Arabidopsis thaliana: one gene and its partner. The protein of the gene in region 1 purifies or fractionates together with the protein of each later gene. This does not show direct contact. Each region holds a gene or a part of one and is shown on either strand. Other genes may lie near its edges.

Region 1 (10,176 bases):
TAGAAAGCGAAAAGAAGATGCAGAAGAATCCAGAGTTAGACTAGTAAGCTCCCTAAAAGCAGAGTTCAAGATTTATTTTCTTACCTTGCAACAGAACAGAGTTCCAGATGAACGATCTCTTGAAGACAAGTCAACGAAGAGCTTGTACATGAATCCAAAACAGCGACCGAAGCTGAATATATTAAACTATATTTTATTTTATTAAACTATATATTGGTTGGATATTTTGGCATAGTTTCACAAATGCTTGACAAATTCACTAATTAATTATAATTAGATTCTCTTCTACGCCAGGAATAATTCCATAAGCCTATATCTATGCAAATTTGGATTATATTTTTTGGATCATTTATTTTAGCTTTTTTGAACTCTAATTATTTTTAGATGACAAAATTTTTTTTTTTACAAAAAATATAAAAAGTTTTACAAGAATTTACAAATGATTTTATGTAAATCTTTTAAAAATCATTTTAAAAATCTTATGAAGTCTTTAAATCATTTTTTACTCTTAAAAAAAATTTGTTACTATTTTAAAACATTTTGTAACTCTTTTTGAACCATTTTAAAACTCTTGTTAAACCTTACAAAAAGTTTTATTAAGATTTACAAGAGTTTTTAAAACTCTTGTAAATCTTTTAAAAATCTTTTAAAAACCCTTGTAAACCATTTAAAAATCTTTTTAATAATTTTTGAACCATTTTAAAACTCTTGTGAACACTTACAAAGGTTTTAAAAGATTTACAAGGGTTTTAAAATCCTTGCAAATCCTTTAAAAATCTTTTTAAAACCCTTAGAATTCCTTTAAAAATCAGTTAAAAACCACTGCAAATCTATTTCTCGTTAATTTATTTGTTTTGGCGGAAATTTTATTTCCCGAATATTTTAGGCAGGAAAAATCAATATATGTTTTTGAAAACTTAACTCTATATTTTTAATGTGTCTAATTTAAAAATCTATATTTTTAATGTGTCTGATTTAAAACATTTTGGTTTCATTCGCCAACTTTATGATAAATACTTTTAATTTTAGTTCTCAATATAAGTATACCAAGAGTTATTGCTATGTGATATATTTTTCATTCAAATAATTTAAGTTATTGCTATATTATATATTTTCCATTCAAATAATATTTTAATCAATAATTTTAGTGGTGAAAGAAACAATACAAGAGTGAAAATATTTTTTTTACCTTTGAAAGATAATTTTTACTTACAATGTTGCTAATTATTATTTTTAGTTAAATTTGATTTTACTTATAAAATAATAAACTTGTCTATCGTACCGAACATAAAACTGTGATGTTCCAGATTTGTTGTGTGATGTGGACGTTCCAGTTTTTTTATATAGGTTATCAGCTTCTGGTCATAAGCAACCCTCATCTCATCAGCCTTAGCAATGTAAGGTTGTTTATCCTTCATTGTCAGAAAATGATGTTAACATAACAATTAGTTAAGCTAACAAAGAACTTACAAAGAAATACACTTACAGTTAAAGATTTGTTAATCTTTTTTTTCTTGTAAATTTTGTTTTGAAAAATGTACAACTTCAGAAATTTTATTCCACTAGACTTCACTAGCTTGTAAAGTCTGCATATCTATTCAAATTTCAGAACAAGTACAAATCACTCACAACAAGCTTATCAATTAAGAAAAAAGGACATAATCGAAGTTTTTATTAATCACTACAACAAGTAGCTTTCTTTTTCTTGATGTGTAAATCTTATTGACCTCATTTCTTCATATTATAAGAAGGATGTTACACAAAGTATCACAAAATATTATCTCATTTAGCGACCAAGATGCTAGTATCTCCCATTCAATAATTTCATACAAGTTAGATTCAATTGATTCATATAAATCAGATTCAAAAATACTATTTAAACCAAAGAAAACAATGATTTTGTCCCTATTTATTGTATTCAACATTGAATTTTATGAACTCACTTAGCTTTCATCATGAATATTACTAGTACTATTTATACTTATAATAACCTAAGTGCCTACAATATTTGGAGGTTAAGATGTTTTTGGGTATTTTAAATACTTTTGGCTATATTCGGATAAAAATACTTGGGTTTTGTAGATTTTTGAATATTTTCTAGTAGTTCGCATAGAATCGAATATAAATACTTTTTGATATTTTTTTATATTTAAATACTTCGTTAAACCTAAATCTGAACCGAATCTGAAGTTTTGAAATAAATAAATGGGTCCTATATTTCTAAATCTAAAACCAAAAAAGCCAACCCAAATATCCAAACGTCCAAACCTACCTTGAAGGATAAAGATTATTGCTGTTCTTTTTAAAAATGAGATATTACAATTACCATTTTCTCTAATATGTTAAAATTTTGTTATTTGGTTTAGAATAAAGAATTTGTCACACGCTTCTAAGATGTTAAAACTGTATGATCCATATGCTGCTATTCCGCAGATGTTACTCTCAATGTTCACTAAAAGAAAATGAACAAGTCTCTTTACATTACAGTAATAAATACATTGGAAAGCAGGTGAAAAAAAGAACAAAATCATCATGATGGTGGGCATTGGAATGAAGGCCTTAAAACAATTTTAACTAAAAGTCCATTGAACTACCCAAAAAAAGAGAGTAAAAACATCACAATTTGCGCTTTCTGGAACACCTTGATAAAGATCGTGTTAATTGTTACCACAAACCATATTAAACATTATAGTATTGAGAATTGATAAGTGGTGCACTAACACCAAACATCTGTTATTAAATATAAAATAAAAAAAAAACCTGAAATCCTTGTAGCAACATTTTCTTCTTAGCAAACAACCAAGAAACTATCAAAGAGAAACATGTTATCTTTATTGGCGAAGGCATAATTATAAGTAAAAATAATACAACCCAAAGAGCATCTCATTTTTTCTGGATTTACAAAAGAAAGCAAGAAAAAAGCTCTTGATTAAGATTTTCTATAAACCAAAATACTTAAGAAGACGAGCGAGAGTCACAATCCTAATTGGAAATTAAAGATTAAAATTCGGTGGGAAGAAAGATAGGCTCTAATTAACTTGGCATTATCTCAGCCGTCCACAACAAATAAGCGTCCTCGTCATCATCTTGAGATGATCTTACCTAAACCCTCAATGCCACGGCAGCGATGGTAGTCAGTAAGATGATCGTCGTGGTTCTGACGGATAGCTCTTCTCCACCGTTGGGATCACCACTCGTGCTGCTAGATGGTCCCATAGTAGTACTGTCAGGAAACGTTATCGTAGATGAAGTCGGCTTATCATTAGTGGGTAGTGTGCTGTTTGTTGAATTGCCTGTGGATGGATTTGTGGTGCCTGGACTTGCTGTGGTTGAATTTCCGGTGGATGGATATCCGGCAGTGGGGGTTCCGTTGGAACTACAAAAAGGTTACTCTTATAAACACACTTAAATCATCATCACAATTTTTAAGAAGATATAATTAATATTTTGGTAATAAATCAGTAATAAAGATTCTGTCACACATTAGTAGACAAATGACTGAACTATTTCAACGACTAGAATCATCAGAGAGCTCATTACTGATCTAAAGAAAACACTAAGCAAACGAAAACAGAGGGAAATAACCCTAATCTAAACTCTAAGGCAAGGTGATGTGAAACATACCTAGAACTAGATAAACAGCTTGACGTAGCTGCAAGAACAGAGTAAATAAAGAATCAGCAAAAAAAAAAAAAGATACACATTTGATGAAAAGAAGTTGTGGTTTTAATGGAAGGAATACTCGAAGGAGGGGAAGTGGAGATGACGGCGGCGCCGTTGAAGTCACATGTGGCACCGGTGGAAGCTTTCTTTTGATAGTAGCTGTTAACGGCAACGTCACAGTGGTTCTTGAGGGTGTTTGGTTGATAACAAGCTCCGGTCGTCTGAATCTGTGCACAGTCAGCACCTCCTCCACATGCGAAGTCTATCACCTTCTGAAGATCCAGCTCGTTAGCGTCCTTGCACACACAAACCGCCGCGTCTGTACAAAACAGATATCTCGGATTAGCATTACAAGGAAAACGTAACCAAGAAGCGAAAATGTCGGAACCATTTTGAGTCTTAATGCCAAGGGACAAAGAAATGTTCAAAGAAGATAGAAAGAACTTACTTGAATAGGTAAACATGAAAGAGAGAAGAAACAGAGGAAGCAAAACCGCCATGACTGCTTAAACTTGATCGGACTTGTCTAACACTGAGAGTACCACAAATGTGAGTTTGCGAGTTTGTTAGAGAGAGAGGAGATTATTCTGATATGATGATCGACAATTTATACTCTTTATGATATTTCTTGGGTACTAATAAGCAGAATACCCTAAGGCTTAAGTAAAGAAAAGTTCAGATATTATTGTGTGATGACTTGTAAATGTTAGATTTTGAGTACTCAAAGCAATGTGGGTCTCTGAAACAGAGAAGGTGAAAAGCATTCCTGTCGTCTAGTCAATGTGTGACTGTGGTCGGTCGACGCACGTAATATTGTAGGCTTTATGTGAAAAACTAGCTTTGTTAATTGTTATTCTTACTAATTTGTCACCTAAGTTTACGTACATCTGATGCATTCTTTTTTAGGATTTAGATAAGAGTCTAGCTTTCCACAAAGACAACAAAAGATGCATGCACACGTTTGCAAATGTAAAATGTTATTTAACATATTATAAGATAAAATAAGATAAAGATGTTTTTAAAGTAAAGTAATTTGATTTTGAAGCACTAACCGATGGAAAATAATGGAGAAAAACAGGGAAAAGAACACAAAACAATTGGAAATAGTATACACTCTTTAAAGGCAAAAACTTAAGTATTAAGTACTTTTTAAAGGCAAAGCGGCTAAGCGAGGGAGCCATGTGCAGGACAAACTTTGCATCCGCATTACAAAACGTGTGATTGTGTTACAACGTACAAGTCACAAAGTCACACAAATAATCCGAAATGGTGTTGACAGGGCGACCAGAAATAGCTATAAACCTTACCTAGCTCTAACGTAAGTAATCACTTTTTCCTTCTCAGTAATTTATTTTTATTGCTTCTCTTTGACTCTGGAGATGGACTCAACCTCTTATACAAGCTCCATGGCCGATTAAGGGACTTTGTTGGACCGAACTCCATGAATAATATGCCGTAATCTTAGATAAAAATTCCTTCTTATCATTCTATTTAATTTAAATGGATGTTTTCCTATCATGCTGATGTCAAGTATGAAACTCATCACCAACAATAACCATGAGCGAAAGATCTCGCTTAAATTTGTTGCAAACTGAATCGCTAATACCGAATAAGCGAAAAATATCCCAACACCAACCATTAAAAAGTGATTTGACGTTATATACATCCTTAACTTATATAAAAACCAAGCGTTTAAAACTAAAACCAACAAAAACACACTTGTAAGAAGAAAAACCATAGCATGTCCATTGCACATATGAGGAAGGTGTCTTTAGCAACATTTAAAAAATTTAAATTACAAAATATTAATAATTAAATGTGAGAGGTCTTTAAATTAAAGACATCTTTTCAAAAAAAGGTCTTCACCAAGACATTTAGACACAATGTTTTTAATTTAAAGACACACCTAAACATTAAATAATATATCTTCTGTTTAAATATTAAATTTTAATTGTGGAAGACTCCCTCATATGATGTATGTGTGGTTTCTTTGAAAAATCAAGGTTTGGGCTATATCTATTAATGGGCTGGGCTTTATACTAAAAGACTAAAACATGTCGAGGAGTCAAAGACAACTTCTGAAAAAAAGACATCAGATTTCTTGGATAATCTCTAAAATGCCACTGCCGTCATCGAGAACAGATCGTCACGACCGGAGTTAGTAGTGTCTAAAAACTCATCTGAGAGAGAAGAACTCAGAAAACCCTAAACACAGATAAACCCCAAAACTCAAAAACCAAATCTTTCCAACAATGGCGTCTCATCTCTTTACCCGATCTCGAATCTCTCTCCTCAAAACCCTAAAACCCAATCCTTTTACCTCAGCTTCACCCATCAGAGCCATTTCCGGTACACCATTCCTCTCTCAAGATCCTCTGCTCGCAACCGAATCAACAGATCACGACCCATCAAACCATCAATCAACCTCCACGCCGCTTCCACCGAATCCAGCAACAGGAAGTCCTCTTTACCAAGAGAATTGGCGTAGTCCGATCCCAAACACTCCTTCCTTCAACCAATCTCTAGTTCCATTAGGATTTCTAAATCAAGCTCCTGCTCCTCGTATCAGAGCTCTCTCTGAGACGCTTGACATGAACTCGCTGCTGAATATGTTTGCGGATTGGACTGCTTCGCAGCGTTGGTCTGACATGAAGCAGCTTTTTGAGGTTTGGGTTCGATCGCTTGACAAGAATGGGAAGCCGAATAAGCCTGATGTGAACCTTTACAATCATTACCTTCGAGCTAACTTGATGATGGGTGCTTCTGCTGGAGATATGCTTGATCTTGTTGCGCCAATGGAGGAGTTTTCTGTTGAACCTAATACAGCGTCTTATAATCTAGTTTTGAAGGCTATGTACCAGGCAAGAGAGACTGAAGCCGCCATGAAGCTGCTTGAACGGTTAGATTCTCTGAGTTCGTAGATAGATTCCTTTTTTGTACAATGAACAATGCTTCTAGAAATAGTGTAAAGATTAAGACTTTACATGATTGAACGGTAAGATTTGCTGATGAATCAAAGGTTATCTCTGCATAGCAGCTACTGATACTGTTGTCATGTAAATGTAGATCTTTTCAAAATGTATCATGACTTGATGTAATTTGGTCAGGATGCTCCTCTTGGGGAAGGACTCTCTTCCGGATGATGAATCATATGATTTGGTTATTGGAATGCATTTTGGAGTTGGGAAGAATGACGAAGCCATGAAAGTTATGGACACGGCACTGAAATCTGGTTATATGTTATCCACCAGTGTCTTTACTGAATGTGTTCGTAGTTGTGTAGCCAAAGGTAGGACAGATACACTGGTCTCCATCATCGAGAGGTGTAAGGTACAGATGAGTTTTTTGTTATCTTCTATTGACATTTGAAGCTTTTGCAGTCTCGTTTATCAATTATATGTGTATTTTTGTTTTGCAGGCTGTTGATCGGAACAAGTCTCTTTGCCCTAGCTGGATACTGTGTAACTATATTGCAGAAGTTGCAATTCAAGAGGATAATAGCAAGTTGGCCTTTTATGCGTTTGAATTTATGTTCAAGTGGATCACTAGAGGCGAAATGGCTAGGCCGTCGGTTATTTTTTCTGTTGATGAAGGGTTGGTAGTAGCAGGCCTTGCAAGTGCTGCTAGGACTTGTAGTTCATCTTTAGTGGAAGGATCATGGACGATTCTGAAACAGAGTCTGCGTGGGAGGAAGGCAGCCAACCCTGCATCTTACATTGCAAAGATTAATGCCTATGCATCGTTGGGGAATCTGCAAAAAGCTTTCACTTCACTTCATGAACTTGAATCCGCATACGCAGACTCTGAAAAAGAAGTTGTGGAGGAAATGCTTTCACCTTTTACATCATTATACCCGCTGGTTGTGGCGTGCTCTAAGAAAGGTTTTGAGACATTGGATGAGGTATACCTCGACTCTTCCTAAGGGTAAATATTCTATATATTCTCAGCTTTGTTCGTAACAAGAATTAAGGTAGGGTCTTTGGCTAAGATAGTTGTGAAATTTAATAGAACAAAACCAGAAAACCTGTTTATCGAAGTCGAGTATCATGGTCTGGATATTAATGCATTTTAGAGTGAAGCAGCTATAACGCTTAGCTTATCTGACCTTGCACTGTCACATAATCCACCAGGTATACTTCCAGTTGGAGAGTTTGAGTCAAGGTGATACTCCATATAAGTCTGTTGCTGCTCTAAACTGTATAATTCTTGGCTGCGCAAACACATGGGATCTGGATCGTGCTTATCAGACGTTTGAGGCAATAAGTGCCTCTTTTGGGCTGACTCCTAATATCGATTCATACAACGCTTTACTATATGCATTTGGAAAAGTCAAGAAGGTGCTGTTTCTATGTCAAATCACTCTCTAATATTTTCTTTTCATGAATTAACTATTTGGCCTTACGACTCTAGTCTATTTGCTTTGCAGACTTTCGAGGCCACGAATGTATTCGAGCATCTGGTTAGCATAGGTGTTAAACCTGATTCCCGGACGTATTCATTACTGGTTGATGCTCATCTCATTAACCGGGATCCCAAATCAGCTCTGACCGTCGTTGATGACATGGTAAACCAGAATTAACAGACAAAACCTAACCTCTATGAGAGAATGATGTGTGTCTGAGAAACTAATGCATGTTCTAATTATACAGATCAAGGCTGGATTTGAACCCTCTAGGGAGACATTGAAAAAGCTGAGAAGGAGATGTGTCAGGGAAATGGACGATGAAAACGATGATCAAGTGGAGGCATTGGCCAAGAAGTTTCAGATCAGAATGGGAAGCGAGAACCGCAGGAACATGCTGTTCAACATAGACTACTCCAGGGGCCGAGCATTAAACAATTGAAATCCAAAATGGATGGTTGTAATAACGAACCCTTGTGAGAAGTAAGGAATGAAGCCCCGGCTCATCTAGTTTTGAAGTTATGGATCATCATGCCCAGTGTTTCATTGATGTATATTGCTTCATTTTATTCTTCCGAGTCTCTTAATCTGATTTTTATCCAATACATTACTTGGCTTCTTTTTTTCTTTTTCGGAAACCAATAGAGTTGGGTTCTTACTTTCTTAGGATCGATAGTCTTAGGAAGATGCTTTTGCATTGACCAATAATGTCAAAACCTTTGGAATATTTTGACTTTTATCTTCTTTGAATCTAAAGAGTTAAATTCAACCCTATATTAATTGATTTTAGTTTTAAAATGATTTTATGTTTTTGGATGACTTTAGGAAAAATGTTATTTGTTGTAAAATCTCCCAAATCTCACTTAAAAAAGTTAAAGCCATGAGATTTATAATTTTGTATATTTAACTAAACAAAATTATCTAAAACCCCTTAAAATGAGTGCAAAAAATAACATTCAATAACATTAGATTTTAAAATGAGTGCAGAAAAAGAATTAGATTTTAAAATAATCATTGTGTGTGGGATGAAAGCACAAAGACAAGGCCTTAAATATGGGCCGGCCCAGTTCAGAGATCAAACAAGCACTCCTGTATATATACACAAATCACAAACAGCTTATGAGAAGTTTTCAACACATTTGGGATCAAAGCCACAAAACCCTAAAAAATGGGTGGAAGAACGGACGAAAGTGGCGGAGGAGGTAAAGAGAAAGAGGAAGAGCAAGATGGTTTGTCCGTACACTCTCCCTGTAAAGCTTTACCTTCCTCCGCCTCCTCTCTCTCCAAGGTCTCTCTCTCTCTTTCTCTCTATCTCTCTACCATTTCTGTTCCTGAGATTTTAAAGGTTCCTCTTTTATTGGATTTGCTTCTCAGGAGCAGTCACAGGTTGAATTAGAGCTAAGGTTATTAGAAGCCCTTGAAATCTATCCTCCTGTTAAACTCCGAGGCAAGTTTCACTTCTCAAATCTTGATCCTTTAGCTACGTTCTATATGCTTCTGCCAATGTTTACTTTTGTATCATGATAGTTATCAGAAACCATTATCAAATGCAATCATTTCAATGTCTATTGTTCTTGCACATTGATCAGTTTGTTGGTTTCTTGATTTCTTCTGCTAATGGGATCATGATGGTGTGCAGGGATACATCGCCACTTTGTTCTTTATGGTCTGATGGAGTATCTCGGAAGAAGGTTTGTTGTTCTCAGAGTTTCTTTCATACTTCCAATACATACATGAGTCTCTGATCCTTATTGATTGAGTCTTTCTATCAAACTATTCCTGTACATAGCTTTGACCGACCGTTCACTGCGGATGAGGTTCTGCAGCTACTCGATCGTTTTTACAACATTGAGATGCTGGTGAGTAGTAATTACAACAAGCATTGATTGTTATTTTGGTCCCATAGCTTTAGTTTCACTTCATGGCATTGTTTAGAGTTGTGGTGATGGTTTTATTAATCTGTTACCTCTGTTTTGTTTCTTAGAAATCAGATGATGAGGACATAGACATTCTGAATCACGAGGAAGACTTTACCTTGCCGCAGAGTTTCTTTGATAAGGAAGAAGAATGACAGAGGAAGAAGAAAAGATGTTTTCTTTTCATTCATCTTC
Region 2 (10,176 bases), on another chromosome or scaffold:
ACAAAACCAAACAAAAGTAAAAATTCACCTCTGTGTATTTAGCTAAGATACCAAAAAGACAAAACTTATATTCTTAACCATTGGATGTAATACATGCTAAGATACTTTCTTATTTTCTTAACTCACAAAAAAACAAAAATTTATTCTAAAATATTGGTAAGATTCAAGATTAAGAATCAATTGTATCTTAACCATTGTAGATGGTCTTAGCTTCTTTAATCCAGGTGAATTCTGTAGTAACCTTGATATACCAGGGATTACAGATCGAACGAACTCCGTTTTAACAGTCAAAGTTTGGACCTTGAGCGTTGGGAAAGGAACACCGCGGAGCTCGGCGAGAGATAGAATCTGACAAAACGAGATGAAATTAAAAGGTCATGTTTGCTAGAAACCCACTTAGCAAGTTGGCGTTCTAAACCATCAAAGAAACATTATTAACCAAATAATAGTTCTACAGGTTTTAGACTTTAGAGTATACCTGAAGAAGGGTTTCCCCAACAGTAAGCCTCTTAACGTTGTGAAATTTTGATAGCATCTCCAGCGCCATGGTTTGATAACCATCTGCAGTCAAGGGAGAGAGTAGGCTACTGATAATGGTAAGGTTAGCTTCGCTCAAAGAGGAGACATCCACTATAGTAGATGGTGTGCTAGAGTATGTCAGTCTCAAATAATAGATGTGTGGCGCAACAATCGCAACTGGTCCTGTGCGGCGATATTGCTGATTTATATCCAATCTCCTCAGATTCGGTGATTTACTCAGATCAAGACGCTCAAGTAATCTGCATGTATCCAGTGTCAAGCTTTCGAGAATTGGACAGCCAGAGAGAATATTATGAATGGATTCGTCTGGAATTTGACAAAAACGCAGTGTTAAGTTCCTTAGGGATTTCCAAGACACTGTGCATGTGGGAATCATATCAAAAAAGTCCAACGTCACGTCGAGTAGCTTTAAGGAGGAACTGAGATAGAAGATATCTGGAAATCTGTAAGTCTTGGAGTATGTGAAATCCCTAACGAACACAGACAGATTTTGCACATTGCGGGAGAGAGCAAACTCGATCCAGCTATCAACCTGGGGTACAGTGTTGCTGTTAAGGTCCATAACAAGTTTGAAACTAGTGATTATGGGAGCCGTGTAGGAAGTTAGGGTTTGGTTCATCGCTCCGTGCTTGAGTGTAATGTCGAGACAAGGTGTCTCGCACCATACATGCCTCCATCGTCGGGATAAGACGGAAGTTCTCATGGCCAAATCGGTGGGAATAAAGGAGAGAATATGGTGAAGGATATCATCTGGCATATAGTTGATGAAATCTGCACCATCGATTATTCGTTGGATTCTGCGGTGGCTACGATGTTGTCGTCGGCCCCGTCTCTCTCGCCTTTTCGCCATCTAACGCAGATGTCTTTAGGTTTTCTTTTGTCTACAGAAGAATTACGTTTAATATTTATATACAATCGGCCTCCCATGGAAAAGACGGCAAAAGCTATGAATCGACTAATGACCCTTTTAAGCATTACCCTTTAACGGCCCAAAATGTATTTATAAGATTATGGCCGGGCCTAGTAAGACAAGTTTACTTTAACCTTAACTTTAACATTACCAGTACCCCAAAATGCCCAAAATTAATGTATCCTCAATCACTTGTGTTACTTTTACAAGTATCGAATTATCTGTAACGTAATCCCTTAAATAATGTACGTATTAGTCTACTGTCCAAATACTGCGCTTTTGAAGATTGACACCAATCTGAAAACAAAACAGAGCACAACCAACTAATCGAAGTAACATAACATGAATATTCAATAGAGAACAGTATAAACCCCTTCTAAACACTGACCTTGTAGCACAATTCGAATCGGAGACAGAAAAACAAAAACAATCCGCCATTATTATTGGGTTATTATTGACACACTGATAAGACCCAAAAGATGCGAGTAGTGAGTTTGTAAGAAACTGTCCCAAGCTGTGACAACCCATAGTTATTGTCTTCTTGTCTCTTTGTGTATTGTTGCTCAATTTGTTTCACGAGAATAGAAAATCATAGTAAGATGAGGTTTGGTTGTACACAAACAAACAAAGAAAGGAAACGCGTGTAAGTTTTTGAAACTTTTGTTTCTTGAAGAATCAATATATGAGAGCCAATGCTATGTACCAACAATAAAAAGTGGATCTTGTTGTTGTATAAAGAATGGTTTGCGACTGAACCGGATAAAAAAAATGGTTTGCGACTGAACCGGATGCAAATTCACAATTTGCGGTTGAACCGGCTTTCGCCATTTGGGTTCTAATCTTATCTTGACAACATTTCTTGCTTCTCTAATTTGCGCCAAAAGAAAAATGGATATGTCGCTTGCGTTATCGACGGCACCAATGAGTAGGACGATTATCTCTGCCACGAGGCGGTCCCAAGTTTCACAACCTAAAGCTAAGAAAGTCAAGCCGGCGAATAAGCGGCCAACGATGTCGACAAGCGGTTTCTCCGGCGGAACGACAAAGGAGTTGACTTGGAAGTGCGTAGAAGGTTGTGGAGCTTGCTGTAAGATTGCAAAGGACTTTTCCTTTGCAACACCTGACGAAATCTTCGACAACCCTGATGATGTTGAGGTTTGTTTGTTTCTCACCCACCACTTGTTCGACTTAATTACTCTGTTAGGTGTTAAAACGTTAATATATATATAATCTTATGCTTAATCCAGCTGTATCGAAGCATGATCGGAGATGATGGATGGTGTCTAAACTACGACAAAGCTACACGCAAATGCTCTATTTATGCTGGTAACAATCAATCATTATTAGCTATCAGATTGTTCTCTCTGTTTATGGACTGAAACTTTGAACGTTTTCTTCCTTTCCTGAGTTCAGATCGTCCATATTTTTGTCGGGTTGAGCCAGAGGTTTTCAAGTCACTCTACGGGATTGAAGAAAAGAAATTCAACAAGGAAGCTGTCAGGTAACTCTCCTTGGTTGTATAACTCTATTTCACAAGCTCTTACACACTGAGAGTGTTTAAATCAAATGTGTATCTGAATCTTAATTAGGGGATATAACAAATGTGGAAGAGATAAATGTGAAAAATATCTTTTTACGTTGCAGCTGCTGCATTGACACAATTAAGACGATATACGGCCCTGATTCCAAAGAATTGGATAGCTTCAACCGTGCCATCAGAAGTAATCCGAGCTCGAGTTGATTAGTCAGATAAACTCAAAGGAAGGTACTGATTCAGTTCTTTTCTTCGTAATACATACCTTAGAGTTCCCCTCAATGCATTTGTGGATTAGAATGTGTACAATAAATAGCCTTATAGTATTGGAAAATTTTGGGATTATTTTTGACTGAGATTACTAAAGTATGTGGAAGAGAAGCAAATACCAAAAGACAAAAAGTGAGATCCTACTGTCAATCCTCTTCCCTAATATAAGCTGCAAAATTCATGAAACACCAAAAGTCTTTATGCAAAACAAATCGTGGACGAACCTTCTTAAAACATGTCATATCACAGGGTCAAGTCCAAGTTCATCTTCAGGTTCATCACTTTCCTCAAATAGCTGCATAAACCGAGCTTGATCTCGCTGCTTCTTCATCCTTTGCGTGTGCTTAAACATAAAAACGCCTCCAACCACAACAAGCGTTGTACACAAAACGCCTGCTATGATCGCTATCATGAATGTTAACCCGTTATATCCTTCCTCTTGCGGACTTGAAGCAGCTACTGCTTTAGAAGATACTACACACATTTTGTTGCATACAATTCATATATGTTACTCATCATCATATCTTTTCGTTTCTTTTGACAGGAAACAGAAATAAGGAAATTAGTTATTACTCACCGGAGTGGAACTTGGCGCAACCGTGGCAGACAAAAGTAGCATTAATCTCCTTTTCTTTAAAATGCATATAAACTTGGCTAGCAGAGAAATCAGTGGGACAAACTTCCCATACATCGAACTCTTTGTCTGAAACGAGGCTGCCTTGCTCATAGATTCCGCATCGTTTACACTTTTCGCCACCAATTCCAGTCATAGGCTGTAACAGGCAATAGAGTGAAGAACATATATGTATTTATCCATGTTATTAATAGATTGTAGTAATGAACGGATGTAAAAGAGATTTGGGACTAGCCTGCCATGATTCTTGACCGCGGAAAGTGTACAAGACACCTGTTTTGGTAACGTCTGGAAGAACAGTTTTGTTCTCTCCATTGCATTGAAAGTAGACCGTATGTTTGAGCTTGAACCAGTCGTGCTTTGTGAATATCTCAATAGAGTTGAGTGTGATAAATTGCCCTCTTACCAGTCCTGAAATTTTGAATATGAACACATATATTAATCTTTTTCGTAAATATACAAATAAGTCGATATGTCCGAGTGGTTAAGGAGATTGACTCGAAATCAATTGGGCTTTGCCCGCGCAGGTTCGAATCCTGCTGTCGACGATTTTTAATTTTAATTTTACAGAAAATTCCCCATTAATCTTAAATTCTTTGAATCTCTTTTTTCTTGGGACGTTTTCTTTTTTCATCATGCAAAATAACCACAAATCGATCTATGGAAACAATAAAAAGCATCATGAAAAGATCGATCATTTTCGATCGAGTGAATGGATAAAAAGTTTGTTGGTTAACGAAACAAACATCATGTTTTGTTTCCCGGGAAAATTAGTCGTGTGGAATTTATTACCTGGAATCCACATGTGGATGATGTAACAGAAAAGAAGATTTCTCCAGATCATCGGTTTTCGAATCGGCATTTTTATCTAATTTTCAGGGTTTTTTTCCGTTTAGTTCTCTCTGTTATGTTTTCAACGAATATTGAAACAAAAGGAAAGAACAGGAAAGCAAGCTTTCGAGAAAAAAGAGGGACAGAGATCCACGTGCGTCTCACGCTTTCCCTCTAAACACTCTCCCTCTTCAATACCACATTCTATAATACATTATATTTGTAACGTTCGTATAAAATATTCACAAACAAAAATAATGATCATATTTTACATTGAAAAATCCCAAATTTTACCGAATTTGTTAAGCTAATTCTTAAATATTTAAAATTAAAACGAACAAAGTAAGCTTACTTTTGTTATGGTATGGACTTTTTTTTTTTTTTTGACATTCATTATGTCAACAAACTACGAAATCTTTTTACCAAAAAAAAAAAACAACGAAAAACAGATAACAAAAAGATGAGACACACAATCTGTCAAAGCTTGTCAGAAAATGGCAAAACACTAACCGAATAATGAATGTTTTCAAAAGTGAAACAACAAAACCTGAGAAACAGAGAAGATTGAAAATGAGAGACACGAAGACGACGACTAAGAGATATGTCGTCGTCTTCGTTATATCATCCGTTTTGTCTCTCCATCTCCTCCGTTCTCCTCCTCCTCCTATTAATCTTCTCCGGAGAATTTCCCTCCACCGCAGGAACTTCATCACCGGACACCAAAGCCGCAGCCGCACGTGCGACTAACAGAGGAAGGAGGAATAAGCAATCCGCGGAGTTCTTACTCGCGCACAACGCAGCGCGTGTAGCTTCAGGCGCGTCGAATCTAAGATGGGATCAAGGGTTGGCCCGTTTCGCATCTAAATGGGCCAAACAACGTAAATCGGATTGTAAAATGACCCATTCAGGTGGGCCTTACGGAGAGAATATTTTCAGGTACCAAAGGAGTGAGAATTGGTCGCCGAGGAGAGTTGTTGATAAATGGATGGATGAAAGTTTGAACTACGATCGGGTGGCTAATACGTGCAAGTCTGGTGCCATGTGCGGTCATTATACGCAGATCGTTTGGCGTACAACCACAGCCGTTGGATGCGCTCGTTCTAAATGCGATAACAACCGTGGATTCCTAGTGATTTGCGAGTATTCACCTTCGGGGAATTACGAAGGCGAAAGTCCTTTTGATATACCTAAAATAACATTGAAATTAGACAAGATTTAATCAAATATTGTTACTTCAATTCTTGAAACATTTTTTTCTTCCTTTAATGGTCAAGTTTTTTCCGTTACTCCTTCTAATGACTAATGTAATATGGACCGTATTGATGTTCGACGTTATGGGCTTTGGCCTTTTTTAATTATTATGTGGGCTTTTGAATTATTTTAGAATGTGAAACGCTGTCGTTTATGTAGCGAATGTGGGTGTAATTTCGAATCTTCTTCACCGTGTTCGTCATCGTCACCACTGAGACTCTCTGTAGAGAAAAACCCTAGACATTTTCCGGTGAGAAATGAGTATCACTCGTAGCGCGATCAGATCGAGTTTGTGTCTCCGGAAATTGGATCCGGAAATCAGTCGTAGCTCGCTTCCGTTTCTTCAAGAGTGGAGGAAATGCCTATCTACCGCCACGGAGCAGCCTCCTCCTGCCTCTCCGTTACCACCGCCTCCGGGAGGTTCTCCGGGAGAAGGTTTTCTCTTTTATTTCATTCCATTTATCTAGTGTTTCTTTGAGAGCATTTCTCCAATTTGTGAGGGCAAAGATCCTAGATCATAGATTGCAGAGTTTTGATTTGTTTGGAGTGTGTATATCTGAAGCTATTGAAATTGAAAATGTTGGTTTCAAATTTAACCGCAGAGGCTATTATCGAATTTTGCTATCCAAAAATGCGGACTTTGTTTACTTTGACTGTTATGGTTTTGAGACTTTGTTTAGCTCACTATGAAGGATGTTCCTTGATGTGTTTTTCTTATTTCTTTTTGCAGGGAGGTTTTATGGGAAGTTTTCAGGCTTTTCAAAACATGCTCTGAAGACAGACATAATGAACGTACTCGAGGGCTGCAGTCTGACATCAGATGATCTCAAATTCAACTATCCGCGTGGCGGAAACTTAACTCCTGCGGCAGTGTAAGTCTTAAGCTTTATTAATTCTCTGGATTGTTACTTTGGAAGAGAGGAATTCGAATCCAAACTAATGAATTTCTATCCTTTTTCATTCTCGACAATGTTGGTATATATCAGCTTTGTGCAGTTCCCATCCCTTTCCGCATATGATAAAGCACTGCGGAATATCGCAAAGAAAGGAAAGCTATATAGATTAGAAAAGGTAATCCTTTTACATTCTATAGAGTCCATATTTATTTCCGTTTTACAAACAAAGAAAGTATTCGTATGCTAGATGGCTATTTAATCTGGAGTTGATTCCTTGTCGATGATTAGGCTGCTCGTGCTCAGTGGGATCCCATTGTTCCTTATGAGGGGAAAGTGGTAAGCTATGTATTCTGTCATAACTTATAGTATTATCGAGGTTTGTTCTCACTTCTCAGACAACTGGTCTGACATAAATTGTAATTGGTACCAACTAATATTTGATGAAATTTTATATTGTTTAGGTTGCACTACATGGGATTCCGGTGAATGCTATAACAGATGACATAGATAGGTTCTTATCTGGCTGTCTCTATTATCCTGGATCCATCCAGTTCCTCACAGTGTGAGTAATTATTGGGTTTACTAATTCTTATTTTATTAGTACCCTGTTTTGTACTTTACTCGATCCGCATTTGATTAGCCGTTAGTTGGACCTGCAGTCTTGCAAAGGCAGTGCTCTCCTGTTTGATTCATCAGTTGCACTGATGTTTAATCATATTACTCACTAGAATAAGCAAATAGTACAGATGTAATATAAATAGCTTTCGCCGGGAACTATAGGAGGAGTGATAGCACTCACTCCTGACTGTCATATTTTTTTTATTTTCTCGAGTACGACATGTGATATCTTGTCACCTTGTTAGACATCATATCTAGAAATCTTTGTGTTCTATGCCTATAGTCGTGTTGTGCAGCAGTTTCTGGATTACTGATAATATGAGGACATGAAACTATTTTAATGCCTTCTTTTACCATGCAGTCAAGGACTTGGAACTTCAAAGAGGGTAGCATTGGTGCGTTTCACATCACAAACCCAGGCAATGAACGCATACATTACAAAGAACAGGAACTTCCTTCTCAACCAACGAATCACATTGCAAGTTCTGCAGTAATTTCTTAGTTTCTATTCCATTCTCGTGGTGTATTCCAATGGTAAGAGATCCAAAGCACTTTCTTTTGTCTCTACTGTTGGGATGTTTTAGGTCGATTTGGTTATCAAAAATTTCCATCTGCAAACTTCACGATGCTTGATAAACTGTTGTTGTCTCTCTCTTCCCTGGTTCAGTTCGAAGTTGATGAATAACAAATACATGTGTCTTAGTAGAAGCAGAAAGTCTCACATAAGCAGATGTTATACTATGTGATCTTTTTCTCTTTCTTGTATTTTGACTAAAGCTGTTATCATTGGATGCCCATGTGGTGAAGTGATCCATCGTGCTTTTAGAAAGTGAATGAATTTGTACTATAAGGGTTTGGTGGGGGCTCACTCTTCACTAGTGCAATAGAAATCGAGCACAGTAGAATAATATAATGAGTTTTTTTAATTGTTCTCTTGCTTTTCTCTAGTGGGTCATCTTTACTTGTAATTGAAGCAACTTGCTATCATATCTTCTCAGTTCTCACGGTAACCGATCTTTCTTCATGAGTCCCTTTGATTGTGTAGAAGATTTGATGTATTATTAAATTTGTAGATCGTATGACTAGTGAAACTGTGTCAGTGTACCTTCCTTTTGATATACTTCTAAGTGATAGTCAATAAACTCAATGGCCAAACCCCTCTAGTAGGATCTTCATTGAGCTATGGATCAATCAATTTGGTGAGCTTAGTTTTGCTATAGTGGTAAGTTTTCTTTGGAGGAAGGGGTAGTATTGTCAGAATAGTCATTGAAGACTTTTCATTGTTGGTGTCCACCGAAATCTTGTTTAGGGATTTGTGAAACATGAGAGTTTGTGAAAGTATGGACAACACACGGGGACAAATGCATAGAGACTAGAGTTATAGAATGGTGTGTGGTCATGTGAATTATTAATCTTTCAATACTGTTTCTTTAAGACAACAGTTGAAAGTGTAGAAGAAGCTATGGATTTAGCCGAACCTTTTGTTTTTGATATCTTTATATAGTTTTGACTTTTGATCATCTTCCTCTTGTTTTGTTGCTTTTGTTTAGCCATGTACACTAGTAAGAGAAACATCTATTTGTCCTGAACAGCAACATGAGTTTGGTAAATAATCTTATCTGATCATTAGGTGTGAATGATAGGTTTTTGGGTTTGTGATTTGTGTTGTGAAAGTTGACAAATACATTTATATAAACAAGCCGATCCAAATTCTTACTCTACTCCACAGACTCTTGTCTGGTCCCACTAACTAGCTTCACATTATCAAATTCTTCGATGAATTTTGGTAAATGTAACTAAAATATCAAATTCTTCGATGAAGTTTGGTAAATGTAACTAAAATATAGTTTGGTTTAGAACTTTAGATTGTGGAGCTAGTAACATTAATAAAATATATAGTTTGTTAAATTTCAACACAATTTTCCAACTAAATCCTTCGAAATTTCATATTTCCAAGATTTATAGTTAAAGTGTAATGAAACACTTTTTAATTGCATAAAGTTTGCAAGCAAATTATGCCTGTCACCAACAGTTGCTAAAGTGTAAAACTTTTGCCAACTCTTCTCCATTCATTGCTTCTTCACCTTTATTCTCCAATCCCAAATTTACATCTATCAATTACATCAAAACCCAAACAAGCAAAGCCGACAATAATCTCTTTTGTACCACAACCATTTGTTTTTTCCCTAATAGAAAAATCACCAATATTTTATTATTACTTCCACCAAATTCCTAATGACTTAATACAATGTATATATAAAGCAAAGATTCGTCAAAAAGTGAAAGTGTTAACAGAAGTGAGAAACGAAGCACACAAGATCTTTAATATGGAAGACGAAAACACCACAATCATCATGGCGTCACTCTCTGCTCTTTCTCCTTCACACCTCACGAATCTGACTCACTCCATTCTCTCTATCTCCCACCACCATCGCCGCCGCCTCGGTGCAGTCCTCTCCTCTCCGACCCTTTTCTCCCTCACTCTCCGCCACCTCCTCTCTCTATCTCTTCCTGACAAAACTCACCTCATCGCCAACCATCTTCTCTCCCTCCTCCATCCTCTTCTCATCCACCGTAAACACCACTCCTCCTACGCCGTCACCATGAAGCTCCGGGACCTAGACGCGGTGGTCCTCCTCCTCTTTCTCTGCGAAACCCACCAGCTTCATCCAGATGTTCTAGAAGCTTCCGC

The links.
Region 2: the proteins of AT1G26460 (region 1) and AT5G02740 fractionate together in Arabidopsis thaliana (co-fractionation; one large-scale study listed by BioGRID). This does not show direct contact.

The regions. Positions count from the first base shown.
Region 1 is NC_003070.9:9,145,901-9,156,076, forward strand, and holds AT1G26460 (Tetratricopeptide repeat (TPR)-like superfamily protein), read left to right. Parts: upstream 1-5,727; 5' UTR 5,728-5,915; coding exon 5,916-6,562; intron 6,563-6,770; coding exon 6,771-6,993; intron 6,994-7,081; coding exon 7,082-7,564; intron 7,565-7,793; coding exon 7,794-8,000; intron 8,001-8,089; coding exon 8,090-8,227; intron 8,228-8,312; coding exon 8,313-8,507; 3' UTR 8,508-8,862; downstream 8,863-10,176. Other genes in the region: AT1G26450 (Carbohydrate-binding X8 domain superfamily protein), read right to left, coding at 3,103-3,376, 3,625-3,652, 3,743-3,982, 4,112-4,163; AT1G26470 (chromatin modification-like protein), read left to right, coding at 9,234-9,353, 9,440-9,512, 9,705-9,756, 9,855-9,924, 10,050-10,136.
Region 2 is NC_003076.8:610,290-620,465, forward strand, and holds AT5G02740 (Ribosomal protein S24e family protein), read left to right. Parts: upstream 1-6,134; 5' UTR 6,135-6,227; coding exon 6,228-6,405; intron 6,406-6,700; coding exon 6,701-6,842; intron 6,843-6,956; coding exon 6,957-7,041; intron 7,042-7,154; coding exon 7,155-7,202; intron 7,203-7,327; coding exon 7,328-7,428; coding exon of another isoform or gene 7,429-7,432; exon of another isoform or gene 7,433-7,845; coding exon 7,846-7,978; 3' UTR 7,979-8,559; downstream 8,560-10,176. Other genes in the region: AT5G02700 (F-box/RNI-like superfamily protein), read right to left, coding at 193-348, 479-1,390; AT5G02710 (zinc/iron-chelating domain protein), read left to right, coding at 2,339-2,605, 2,698-2,776, 2,864-2,951, 3,095-3,191; AT5G02720 (valine-tRNA ligase), read right to left, coding at 3,493-3,728, 3,832-4,027, 4,124-4,299, 4,681-4,750; AT5G02730 (CAP (Cysteine-rich secretory proteins, Antigen 5, and Pathogenesis-related 1 protein) superfamily protein), read left to right, coding at 5,321-5,938; SGR9 (RING/U-box superfamily protein), read left to right, coding at 9,812-10,176.